Linked DNA regions of Oryctolagus cuniculus. The protein of the gene in region 2 purifies or fractionates together with the protein of the main gene of each other region. This does not show direct contact. Links are inferred from orthologs where the notes say so. Each region holds a gene or a part of one and is shown on either strand. Other genes may lie near its edges. The genes, in order: AHDC1, CBX5 and ADNP.

Evidence for each region.
Region 1: the proteins of CBX5 (region 2) and AHDC1 purify together in Homo sapiens (affinity purification with mass spectrometry; 3 studies listed by BioGRID and IntAct, with this or other methods). This does not show direct contact. The link is inferred for Oryctolagus cuniculus from reciprocal best matches to the Homo sapiens genes CBX5 and AHDC1.
Region 3: the proteins of CBX5 (region 2) and ADNP purify together in Homo sapiens (affinity purification with mass spectrometry; 4 studies listed by BioGRID and IntAct, with this or other methods). This does not show direct contact. The link is inferred for Oryctolagus cuniculus from reciprocal best matches to the Homo sapiens genes CBX5 and ADNP.

Annotation. Positions count from the first base shown.
Region 1 is NC_091438.1:144,015,509-144,019,765, forward strand, and holds part of AHDC1 (transcription factor Gibbin), read left to right. Parts: intron 1-1,311; 5' UTR 1,312-1,422; intron 1,423-1,575; 5' UTR 1,576-1,613; intron 1,614-1,929; 5' UTR 1,930-2,003; coding exon 2,004-4,257. UniProt on the Homo sapiens protein: Transcription factor required for the proper patterning of the epidermis, which plays a key role in early epithelial morphogenesis. Directly binds promoter and enhancer regions and acts by maintaining local enhancer-promoter chromatin architecture.
Region 2 is NC_091442.1:57,214,477-57,218,833, reverse strand, and holds the start of CBX5 (chromobox protein homolog 5), read left to right. Parts: upstream 1-1,956; coding exon 1,957-2,274; intron 2,275-4,357. Other genes in the region: HNRNPA1 (heterogeneous nuclear ribonucleoprotein A1), read right to left, coding at 70-280, 415-561, 785-901, 1,464-1,478. UniProt on the Homo sapiens protein: Component of heterochromatin that recognizes and binds histone H3 tails methylated at 'Lys-9' (H3K9me), leading to epigenetic repression. In contrast, it is excluded from chromatin when 'Tyr-41' of histone H3 is phosphorylated (H3Y41ph).
Region 3 is NC_091442.1:10,055,245-10,059,501, forward strand, and holds part of ADNP (activity-dependent neuroprotector homeobox protein), read left to right. Parts: intron 1-2,461; 5' UTR 2,462-2,466; coding exon 2,467-2,574; intron 2,575-4,257.

The DNA.
Region 1 (4,257 bases), on a different chromosome or scaffold from region 2:
CCAGTGACCAGGGCCCATTCAACTCCTCCAGATCGTAGTTCCTCAGGATCAGCCATGGTCCTGAGGCTTCAGGCTCCCTTGGGAGTCAGATGCCTGGATCTAAATCCCAGCTCTGCCCTGACCAGCTTGAGGGCTCAGTTGGTAAATATTTATGGAGCATCTGTAGCCCAGGCCCTGGGGTCAGGGGATGCTGTGGTAAACAAGACAGATGTGATCCCTGCCCCTGCAGAGCCCACACCCTCGGGGGAGGTGCTCTGGTGATTGCCTACGGTTGATGGGGACTGTGACATGGAGATTGATGGGGCCCGAGCGAGCTGGGGCTGGGCTGGAGCAGTGGAGAGGGTCAGAGAGGGTCCCATCCTGCAGCCCTGTCCCTCTCCCTGCCTCAGCTTCCTTCTTGGGTCACACTTGAGGCAGGGTTGACTGTTGTGTGTGCCTTGTTCATTCACTCATTCCACAAATCTTTGTTTTTTAAATTTATTTTACTCATTCATTTGAGAGGCAGAGAGAGAGAGAGAGAGGTCTTCCATCCTCTGGTTCATTCCCCAAATGGCCAGAGCTGGGCTGATCCAAAGCCAGGAGCCAGGAGCTTCTTCCAGGTCTCCCACGTGGGTGCAGGGGCCCAAGGATTTGGGCCATCCTCCAGTGCTTTCCCAGGCCATAGCAGAGAGCTGGATCGGAAGTGGAGCAGCCGGGACTCAAATCGGCGCCCATGTGGGATGCCGGCACTGCACCATAGCACCTGCCCCACCACAAATCTTTCTTGAAACCATCTTTTGAGGGCCACGTGCCATTCTGGGTGTTGGAAGCCACGAACAGAAAGGGACACGATCCTTGCCTTCATGGTGCTTAATGCCTTCAGCGGTGGGCTCTGTGGAGTTGGGAAGGGTGCTGACCTCAATCTCTGGTCTGCAGGGGCGTGAGGCGAGGGGTGCCGTGTAATGGGCGTGGCCCCGTGTTTGGCAGCAGTGACAGTGTCTTTGGGGGCAGCAATAGTAGTGACTGTTGAAGCTCTGACCTTAGGCATGCTTCACTTCCCTGGAGCTCTTATGCCACTAACGATTAAATCATTCACGATTATCTAATCGGGATCTGTCTGCCCAGCCCTTTTGCAAAGCAGGCACTCCATAAGTAGTGAGTTCTTTCATCTTGGAGCCTCCATTTCTTCTCTGTGAAATGGGCTTATTACTAGCCCGCACCTCACAGCATCTGTATGAAGCGTTAAATGAAACGATGCCCACACAGCATCCAGCCCAGTGCCTGGCGCGCAGTAGGTGCCCACTAAACCTGAGCTGCAATGGTCCTTTCCAGGCGCTGTCCACGCCCGAGGCCTGGGCTCAGGCCGAAGTTGCTCCATAGCACCCCCAGCTGACGGCCAGCGACTGGCAGCGCCCCCAGGCACAGGGGCCCTCTCTCTCCCAGGTCAGCGGGGTATGCGCGCTGCAGGGAGCAACCTAGGGAGCTGGGGGTTGGTTCCTGGAGGAGACCTGAGCAGTGGGCAGGTGGCCAGGCATTGAGCTGTGGCCCCCAGACCACGTGGGGAATTCAGGTCCCCTGTCGCTGTCTCATCCACAGAGCTCTCCAGTGTGACAGCCCAGGCGGCAGAGCCGAGGGTGAGTGGCCAGATTCTTGCAGTCCTGGGGTGGGGGCGGGGAGGTGGGAGGCCATGCCCTTGGTAGGATTTCCCAGCCTCCTTCTTAAGTCGACCCGAGCGCTCCCCTTGCTGTTCCCTTGGGCTTCCCTGCAGAGGCGGGGGTCTGTTCTCCCTGAGCCCATAGCCAGGGTCTCCAGGGCAGGTGAGTTGTCAGTAAGAACCGGGGCCCATGCATGTGGTGCTTTGAGAGGGCTGGGGGAAGGCCCAGGGGTTCACTGAGAAGAGAAGCTGGTGAGGTGTTCAGTGAGGGACCTCCCGCCTGTCCTGCCCAACAGGTCCTGGTCCCGGCTTCTCGCACCCTCATGTCAGCCCCGGCCCCGCCCGGCGGCCCGCGGAGGACAAGGTCAGGATGCGTGTGAAGCCCCAGGGCCTGGTGGTGACTTCCAGTGCCGTGTGCAGCTCTCCTGACTACCTCCGGGAGCCCAAGTACTACCCCGGCGGCCCCCCCACCCCCCGGCCCTTGCTGCCCTCCCGGCCCCCCGCCAGCCCACCTGACAAGGGCTTTTCCACCCACGCCTTCTCCGAGAACCCACGCCCACCCCCACGCCGGGACCCCAGCACCCGGCGCCCACCAGTCCTCGCCAAGGGGGACGACCCACTGCCCCCGCGGGCAGCCAGGCCCGTCTCACAGGCCCGCTGCCCTACACCGGCGGGCGACAGCAGCAGCTCCCACCACCGCTGGGACAACGGGCGGGTGACCCTGCGACCAGTGGTGCAGCTGATTGACATCATGAAGGACCTGACCCGGCTCTCCCAGGACCTGCAGCACAGCGGCGTGCACCTGGACTGCGGTGGGCTCCGGCTCAGCCGCCCGCCTGCCCCGCCACCCGGAGACCTCCAATACAGCTTCTTCTCCTCCCCCAGCCTGGCCAACAGCATCCGCAGCCCCGAGGAGCGGGCCACCCCCCATGCCAAGTCGGAACGGCCCAGCCACCCCCTCTATGAGCCTGAACCTGAGCCTAGGGAGAGTCCCCCGCCTGGCCAAGGCCATAGTCCCGGAGCCACGGCTGCAGCCCCCGGGCTGCCCCCAGAGCCGGAGCCAGACGGCCCTGATTACTCGGAGCTCGCGGATGCCGACATCCTCAGTGAGCTGGCCTCCCTTACGTGCCCTGAGGCCCAGCTGCTGGAGGCCCAAGCCCTTGAACCCCCTTCTCCGGAGCCGGAGCCTCAGCTCCTGGACCCCCAGCCCCGCTTTCTGGACCCGCAGGCTCTAGAGCCGCTCGGGGAAGCTTTGGAGCTGCCGCCCCTGCAGCCGCTTGCCGATCCGTTGGGGCTGCCGCCTCTGACGCTGCAGGCCCTGGACACCCTGCCTGACTCCCTGGAGTCGCAGCTGCTCGACCCTCAGGCGCTCGACCCCTTGCCCAAGTTGCTGGACGTCCCGGGTCGCCGTCTGGAGCCTCAGCAGCCCCTGGGGCACTGCCCGCTGGCGGAGCCCTTGCGCCTGGACTTGTGCTCACCCCACGGCCCCCCCGGGCCTGAGGGCCACCCCAAGTACGCCTTGCGGCGCACTGATAGGCCAAAGATTCTGTGTCGCCGGCGGAAAGCCGGACGGGGACGCAAGGCAGACGCTGGACCCGAGGGCCGCCTGCTGCCCCTTCCTATGCCCACAGGGCTGGCGGCTGCCCTGGCTGAGCCCCCTCCCCCTCCACCGCCTCCACCGCCTCCTGCGCTGCCGGGCCCGGGCCCAGTCCCAGTCCCGGAGCTGGAGCCAGAATCTTCCCAGACGCCCATGGTCCCCAGCCGCAAAGGCAAGTGCCGGGGTGTGCGGCGCATGGTGGTGAAGATGGCCAAGATCCCTGTGTCGCTGGGCCGGCGGAACAAGACCACGTACAAAGTGTCCTCCCTGAGCAGCAGCCTGAGCGTGGAGGGCAAGGAGCTGGGCCTCCGTGTGTCCGCGGAGCCCACGCCCCTGCTGAAGATGAAGAACAACGGGCGGAACGTGGTGGTGGTCTTCCCGCCCGGCGAGATGCCCATCATCCTCAAACGCAAGCGCGGCCGTCCCCCGAAGAACCTGCTGCTGGGTCCCGGCAAGCCCAAGGAGCCGGCCGTGGTGGCCGCCGAGACGGCCACTGTGGCAGCGGCCACCATGGCCATGCCAGAGGTGAAGAAGCGGCGGAGGAGGAAGCAGAAGCTGGCATCGCCTCAGCCGTCCTACGCGGCCGACGCCAACGACAGCAAGGCCGAGTACTCGGACGTGCTGGCCAAGCTGGCCTTCCTGAACCGCCAGAGCCAGTGCGCTGGGCGGTGCTCGCCGCCCCGCTGCTGGACACCCAGCGAGCCCGAGTCGGTGCACCAGGCCCCTGACACCCAGAGCATCTCCCACTTCCTGCATCGCGTGCAGGGCTTCCGGCGGCGCGGGGGCAAAGCAGGCGGTTTCGGCGGCCGGGGCGGGGGCCACGCGGCCAAGGCAGCCCGGTGCTCCTTCAGTGACTTCTTCGAGGGCATCGGCAAGAAGAAGAAGGTGGTGGCAGTGGCAGGCGCTGGGCTCGGGGCCCCCGGCCTCACTGAGCTGGGGCACCCACGCAAGCGGGGCAGGGGGGAGGTGGACGCCGTGACCGGGAAGCCCAAGCGCAAGAGGCGGTCCCGGAAGAATGGGACTCTGT
Region 2 (4,357 bases):
CCCGGGGTTAGAGTGGAATGCCACGTGCGTTGCAGAAAGCCCGCAAAGTGCCTGGGATCTGATACTCACTGACAATCTTATCCACGGAGTCATGGTCGTCGAAGGTCACAAAAGCAAAGCCCCTCTTCTTGCCACTGCCTCGATCAGTCATGATCTCAATCACCTCGATTTTCCCGTACTGCTCAAAGTAATCTCGGAGGTGATGCTCTTCAGTGTCTTCTTTAATGCCACCCACGAAGATCTTTTTCACAGTGAGGTGGGCACCTGGTCTTTGGGAATCCTACCGAGCCGAGAACCACGAGTTACTCTAAATGGCAAAATCTGTGTCCTTTATCAAGTACTTGAAAGGGTCCAGATGGCTCCCCAATGGCAAGCCTATTACCACAACCGATGGGGGTTTGGGGGCCCACTTACTTCTCTCGACACAGCCCTCTTTGGTTCCACAACTCTTCCATCCACTTTGTGTGGCCTTGCGTTCATGGCCGCATCCACCTCCTCCACGGTGGCGTAGGTGACAAACCCAAAGCCCCTGGAGCGCTTGGTGTTCGGGTCTCTCATTACCTGGAGACAGCGTTAATTTGCTTATTACAAGGCCCGGGCCCGTAGGAGGTTATAGGGCGGTCCTCCTGTTCCCCGCTCCCGCAACTTCCAAAAAGCAGGCCGAAGAGCCACAAACGAGCCATTCCTAACTCAGAACTCAGGCCCCGTTAGGATCTTAAGCCCTCGCACAGAATCTGCAGGAACAGCCGCCGACGCCCCGCCTCCCGGCCCTCCCCAGTCTTACCACGCAGTCCGTGAGCGTGCCCCATTGCTCAAAATGGCTCCTCAGGCTCTCATCGGTCGTCTCAAAGCTCAGCCCTCCGATGAAGAGCTTCCGCAGCTGCTCGGGCTCCTTGGGCGACTGGGCGGGAGAGCAAAATTGGTTTTTCTCTTGTAAATTCGGGCTACCACACGACCCCGTTTCCACGCGGGGGGTGGGGAACACAACTCGGCCCCCACAAAGGCGGCACTTTTTGTTCGCTCCGGTCCAAAGCGGGCCACGTGCTCCCCCTCATCAGGGGAGGCGGCCCGTTGGGGGCTGGGGAGCCTCCAGCGCATGCGCCGCTCCGCTCCCTCCAGACGCACGCGCGCAACAAAAGGTCCGCGCGGGAGGGGGACATCGCCGTGAGGGGCATCAAGGCTTTTTTAAAACCCGCTCGCCGGGACAAAATTGAACCTAAATCGCCATATGGCTAACGATTTTGCCCCGACGCCGACCCCGGAGTGATTATCGAGGGGCTAGCGGCCCGCAACCTCATGGCGACGACGAGGACAAAATGGCGACTTGAACTTTGGGAGGGGTAGGCCTTGGCCGCGACCGAGCAAACTGCCGAAAAGGTTGCTGCGGGCAAAGAAACCGCCCCTACTGGACTCGAAGAGGGAGACGAGGGGGAGAACTACGTTAGAAAAGGGGAGCTCCTCACCTCTGACTTCGACATGACGGCGGTGGGAAGAGAGAACTCGACGATGCTTCCTCGGCGGCGTCCGCAAGCAGAAAGGAGTAAGCCAACGAACGTATCCGCCAGCCTACCTTCGGCCTCGCTTTTTTATCCCGCCTCCTCGCTTTCGACATTGGCAGACTCCACCCCTGCCTCGCTCTGATTGGACATTTGAAATCGCTTCCCTCTACTATTGGTGTATGGCGCCGCACTGCTGCGTACGTCACCGTTAGGGCGTTCTGCGCAGTCTCCACCCCTCGGACCCCATTGGTCCTCGAGCAATCTTATTCTTAGCCAGCCTGATTGGCTAACTGAACAATCATTCATTTTTGAACGTACTTCGCCTGTCTAAACGTTTTTTTTTCATTCTACTAGTCCAAATTATATATCCTATTTGTTTGGTAAAGCATTATTAACACCAAGCAGCAGAAAAGTAGTTAGATGTGACGGTTTTTTTCAACAACCGCCTGTTGAGCGCATGTGTAGTAAAATGGCGATCTTGCGCATGCGCATTATAGAGTTCCGCTCGCCGCTTGAAACACGTGAAATGGCGGGCGGGAGAAGGCGGTTAACCTACGGCGCCTGCGTAGTGGCGGGAGTTGCGCGCTGCTTTGCGCAGGCGTTGTGGGCGGAGAAAGGGTCCGGGCCCAGGATTGGTTGCGCAGGCGCAGGGAAGGATCCGTTTTGGCGGGCGGTTGGCGTTGCGCAGAAGGCAGCAGCAGCGGTGGCTTGTGGTGCGGCCTCAGCACAGAGGAACGGGGCAGACGTTAGGGTGTGTGATCACTCTCGATCCCGGGTAAGTGGCAGAGAGTCTTGTCTACCTGTACAAGGCCTTGGACCGGCTCCAGTTGGGCCCGTTATTGTGTGAAATGAATGGACCGTGGGGTGGGGGGATAGTCAAGGGGCAGCGGTGGGTTGGGCCAACCAATAGAAGAACAGGGGGCGGGATATTCCATCCCTGTAGGTTGTGTGGAGCTGTGCCGCCGAGGCGTTTGACTGGCGCGTGTCTAGGCCAATTGGGTCTACCTCGAGCTGCCGACTGATCGGCCTTTGGGCCATCGGAATGTGGGAGGCGGGTTTTCCCTTCCTGAGCAGCGTCCCGCCGAGCCAATGAGCGCGAAGCGCGCGGTAGGTTGGGCTTCTCCGAGGGGCCGTGGGTTTGACTCCAGCGGGGAAGGCGGGAGTTGGGCCCTCAAGTGGATGGACCAAATCTGGAGCCAGTAGGCGGGCGGCCCAAGGAAGCCTCTCGGACAGGTCGTCCAATAGGCTCTCCAGGACGGGGAGGTCTTCGATTTGGTGGGAAAGGGTGGGGAGGAAGGAGATTCAATGGTCGTGATGGCGTGCGGGGGTGGGTTTTTCCCCCCTACGACTTCTGCGAAGCCCCCCGCCCGGTGCACCTCTTTGGTAGCGGAAGCGTAAATTTGGTCCTGGGTGCTGCAGCTTGGCATCGCTCTCCACGTCGGGGCATCCCAGCATCCACCACATTGAGTTTGGGGGAAACCCGAGCAGGGCTTTCGATTTAGAGAACTTGTTTTAGGAAGACGGACTGAGTGTTAGCGAATGAGAGAAATCACTGTGTACTGTACGGCAAGGCGACCTCAGGATGCCTGTTTCTGCGGACACAAAGGTGTTCGTAGGCCCGCAGAAAAGTTTCAGAATCCTGCCCCTGTCCGGAGTGTGTTGCTTCTGCCGACGCCGGGGCCGAGGCAGGCTGGGTTTCCAATAGACCCGTGTTTAATCTTTACAGGGGTGACGATTTGTGATTAAAATAAAATAAAAAATGAAGTCAGTTTTGTGTGTGCGTTTCTGTTTATCATACTTCTCATCGCCCTTGTCTCTCTTCTCAGCTAGCTGCTCCGTGCTTTTGTCTTGGTCTTTTTCTCTGACTTTCCCTCCTGTACATATCTTTCTTTACACCATTAAAGATCTCCCGTGTCCCTCTTTGTGCTGTTCCTTTGAGGATGTCCCACGGAAGCCGCTGTAGGAGGCGATACGTTAGGGTGTTGGAGACAAAAGACCCATCCATCACCTGGAGTATTCATTGCCTTTTGATTAGATTTCCTTACGAGGGTGTTCTGCATGTAGTCTGTCTTCTGTTGATAATGCTTTCTCTGCTTATTCAGGGATCTTTTGAAAAAAAAGTTTGCATTATATATTGGGTGTGTTAGGGTCTTACTGCTTTATTGTTCACTGACTTAAAGCCAAGGGAGCAATCTTTAAATACTCTAATAAAAGTCAACCACATATGAAGTACACTTGTGATTGGAGACCTCTCCGCACTTGTGCAAATACAAATGATTTTAATGGAGCTTGTGATGAACCGAGCAGAGATTTCCGTGTTCTCCCGTACTTGCAAAAACGGCAAATCTGTGTTTCATACCTGATCATAAACCTATTTGTGGATATGCTGATAGTGCAGTTGCTGAGCTTCTGATAACTAAAGTGAGAGCGGTTGAGGGTATCCTGGATTTATTTAGGTTTAAAAGGAATACAGTCTTAATCTATAACAAGGTTTCTCATCCTCAACACTATGGGCACTTTGAGCCAGATACTTCTCTGTTGGGCAGGGAGTGGGGGCTGTCTTGGGCTCCCTGGCTCTACCTATTAGAAGCCAGCAGCACCCCCCCCCCCCCCCCCGCTGTCCTCACAGCCGCCAGGCGTTGCCAAAGGTCTGAGAGGGGTAAGCATCGGAATCTCAGTTTGAAACAGACCTAAAATGGCTGATGTTAGAGTTAATTATCCTTTCAAAGTCCTCTGTTTTACCAATTCAATAAAAGTGGGATGTATTTAGGGAGGGGCCTTTGCTGAGTGGATTACTAAATCCTATCACTTATCTCTTTCAGACACATAATAGGATCATTGTTCCTTCTGATAAAAGT
Region 3 (4,257 bases), about 47 Mb from region 2:
AGGTATTGATGTGAATGTGTAACTCTTGGGAACAGCCGTAGGCCCTTGTGTTCTGGCTTGTCACTCAGATAATCCCAGCGTGGGCTGGTGGAGTGTGGCGGAGACTTGGTTCCAAGGAACTGTCTGGCGTGGTGCATAGAAATGCCTGGGCACTGCCCTTGAGGACCGGACGGGGTCAGCCGTCTGGGAAGCGCTGCGAGGCCGAGGAGAGGGGTGGGGAGGAAGCTTCCTTGCATCTGTTCCTGTGCTGTCCTGTTGTCTACTAAGAAAAGCATGTCATTTAGAGCCAGCAGCCAGAGAAGTGCGTAAGTGCTTAACGTTGAGGATGCGAAGACAAGCTGCAGACGGACAGAGTCTTGGTTAGAAAAAGCTTCTGTAAACAGGTCACTGAGGGCGCCTCCATCTGGGGAGAGGGGCAGATCACTGAATTCCCAGGGTCATTAGAAATGTCCGCGATACGCTCATAGTCGTAGGACTTCTACATCTTCCAGTTAAAACCTGAGCATGGGTTCTTCCGGTTACTAAGCATAGAAGAAAAATAACCTTTTATACAGCGTTTTCCGATAAGCAGTCATGCTTATTTTGTTAACGAGCCTTTTTAATTCAGTGTGGATAAGTACACTCGGAAGTCGACCCTGTGCCACTTCTGAAGTGCACGCGTCCTGCTGCCGAGCTCCTGAGAACCGTGCTTGGCTCGGGGGGCTCCCCCAGGCGCTGAGGTGTGCTTCACCGGGATCCTAGAATGACCGTGGCCGTGGGCAGGCACTGAGAGTGGGCTCTCCTCCCCCCGAGCTGCAGGGACAGGCTGGTGGCCACATTCACACACCTGTGTGCCTTGGTTCTGCCAGGCGGGCAGGGAAACCAGTCCCGGCTGCTTCTGAAGTGAGGCAGGCTTACTTCGGGAAGTTCCTGAATGGCTGGGTTTTGGCCCACAGGGAGGTTTGAAGGGAAGAGAGATGGATAGTGGACTCCTCAGACTTGAGAGGCTGTGCTCAGAATTAGCCTGAAGGATGCCTCTGTGTTTCTAGTCTTTTTTTTAATCGGGCAGTTCTGAAAAAGACCGAGTTTGTGTCAACAACTGAAAAGTCTTGTTTTAAACCACTGAAAAGATGGTTTAAAACAATTTAGCAATAAAACGTCCGTGAAGAATGGCTTGGCTTTCAGTGCAGGGGTTTGTCTGGGAAGCGGGGTGTGATGGCGTGTGCAGAGCAGGGCCGCCTGCAGCGCTGCTTCAGAGCTCACAGAAGTCCAGCCTGAGCGGAGGCCAGGGAGCTCCCTTCTCGGCTGCTGCAGGGGTCCCAGGCAGGACCCCCGGCTGAGCACTGCTGGGAGCCGCTCTTTGCTTTGGTGCGAGGGACTCTTTTTTTCTCTGTTTTTTCATTTTTCATTAGTTAACATTAATTTTTAGATTAGGATAATAAGTGAGACAACATTACATTTGGATTAGTTAACTTGCAGGTAAAACTGGTAGTAGTAACCACCTTAACTAATTGGCAGATAAGATTTGCATATATTAAATTTTAATTCCTGGTTGCTTTGGATTTTGGTTTTGCTGTTTTGAATTTTAGAGCTACTTTATTCTGCAAAACTATTTTGAATTTGGACTACTAAATTGAAGACATTCTGAAGCATATTTTACAGAAGGATTTAGGGTCACATTGGAAGGCATACAAATTCTCAGTTGCCCGAAACAGTAATTTTGTCTTCTTACTAAATACAGCCCTTTGTTTTTAAGGAACTTGGGGAAGTGGATCTGAGTTTGATTTTAATGTGTTAACTCATCACAGTTGTTCCATTCCCATACACACGCAAGGGCTTTTCATTTTTCCGATGGATGCCCTGAAGCCTGTAAGAGTTACCATTTGCTCTGACGCCCAGTGCCCACCTTCTCCCCTCTCAGCAGTCAGTGCCTTGTTGAGATGTGCTGCCAGCTGTCGGGGGGTGAGTCCTCTCAGCCATCATGCCATTGACTTGGGGTGCACAGAGATAGCAGGCGTGCTCCCTGAAGAACACCAGAGCAGTGGCAGGGGTATTGCCGGCAGCAGGAGCTCCCTGGCACTCAGTGTGGTGACAATGCTGCAATGGTGAGCGTTTCCTGTTCTCAGAGGTTCAACATCACAAGCAATAACGCACTCACACTTGACTTAAAAATAATTGGTTGGTATTATTTCCCTCATTCTCAACTTTATCACTGAACTGTTTTTTTTTTTTTTTTAAGTCTAAGCTGAATTGTGCCAGATTAGACTCATAGTTGATTAATATAAAAATGTCCCATTCAGAAAAAATCAGAGAGAACTTATTTTTGCCTGTCTGCTTTGAGTATTCAGAATACACTAGATAAGGATATCTATTCACCTTTTTGTAGTTGGGGCCAGGGTTTGTGATCCTGTCATCAGTGGATTTAGTAAATATTACAAGTTGTACATGTTTTGACTTTGACTTAAATTTTTTTTTCCAATAGAAACTATGTTCCAACTTCCTGTCAACAATCTTGGCAGTTTAAGAAAAGCCCGGAAAACTGTGAAAAAAATACTTAGTGACATTGGGTTGGAATACTGTAAAGAACATATAGAAGTAAGTAGCATGTCATTTTTAAATTTTAACATGACTCAGCTTCTGGTCCATTACTTTGTGTCAGCACGAGGATGGATAATTCTTCGGTGTGATTCTAAATTGTAACCACAGCGTTAGCTTCGCCAGCGCCTTCTCAGTTAGCGTAAACTTCTTCCCTTCACCCCGAAGGGGCTTTTCCGTCTTTGCATCCTGAAGCAACAGCAGCTGCCGTTGAGGGCTTACGCTTGTCAGACATTGAACCTGGGCGCTTTACTGGCCTCTCCCTTTGTTCTTAACGACTTTCGAGGGGCAGTGGGAATTCTTAACCTCCACTCTACAGATGAAAGATGAGTCAGGGACTAGGTCTGGCCTCAAGACGGAGGGAGCGGTGGTGTCTGTGGGGCTCCAGGCCTGTTCTCCTTGAGAGGCCTGAGGGTGCTGTTGGCCGTCTAACTGTTGAGGCATGGTTACTTGACTGCTTGTCGTCTCTTTCCTTGGGATTTGAGCGTTTGTTGGCCCTTTTTACCCATCAGTGACTACTGTCTTCCCCTTGTTTAACAGTTGGCCTTACACTGTTTCTCCTGCCTTTTTATTCTAAGAGCTTTATAATAGCCCCTGGGCGAGGGCATAACCAGAGCAGTGAGTTCCTCCCTTTCCAGGTCTCAGTGCTCCGAGTCTTACAGTTAGGTGGTCAGAGCCTCTGGTTGAAAAAACACAGTGAATGCCATTTCCGTGCTAACCTTTAAATCCTAGCTGGCCAAGGACCATGGCTGCCTTGTTCATCCATTTGTCCCCAGCACCTATAGCACAGTGTTTGGCACAAAATAGGTGCTCAGTAAATGTTTGACTGGAATGGAAGTAAAGGAACAAAAACAAAAATTCAGTAAGCAGTGGTCTTTCTTTTCCTGAGTCCCACTGACACTCTAGGGGTACAGAGTGAAGACGAAGCTCCTCGGGGTGAGCTTCTAGTTAGGTCGTCCCCAGCATGCAGGCTGCCCCTCCCCAAGCCCACGGTGAGGGCAGCTCTGCCCCATGCAGCGGTCTGTTCGCTGCATGTTCGGTGGGGCCCTCTTCACGGGAGCTAATCTCACAGGTGCTCAGGTGCCTCCCGTCCTGCACAGGCTTTGTTCAAACTCTCACGACACTCGTTACAGACTGCGGACTGATGTGTGCTTGATCCCCCTCAGACTGAACCGTTGAGGAGCAAGAATTTTTATCCTAAGACTTTTTATCTTCCTAGTCTAAGGGGAAAGGGGCTGTGTTAGCGTTTTACATAAGAGTGCAAATTTAACATCACGTTGCTTGCTTTCTTTGAATAGCTTTCTTTCCTCCTTTTTGGGTTCAAAAATCCTGAATTTTCTTTCCAATCCAATCTCTGGCCCCTCTCCCTCAAAAAATCTTTTTTTGCAGAACTGGACACATCTGCAGAACCATAAACGAACGTTTCTTAAGACTCCATTGCAGTACTATCGCTGATGAGTTACAGTACTCTAAGAAAACTGCTTTGGTACTAATATGTATGTGACCGGACTTTCTAGTTCATTAGAATTCCCAGTGGTTTCCTTGGAAACCTGGCTGACCATCCGGGTACTGTTGGGCTGATAAAAAATGTTCAGTGTAATTTAATTTCCAGGTGCCCTTTTGTCTTGCCTAAGAGCCTTATTATTCCTAGTTTAGATCTTAATGCGGTTGGTTTTCCTGTGC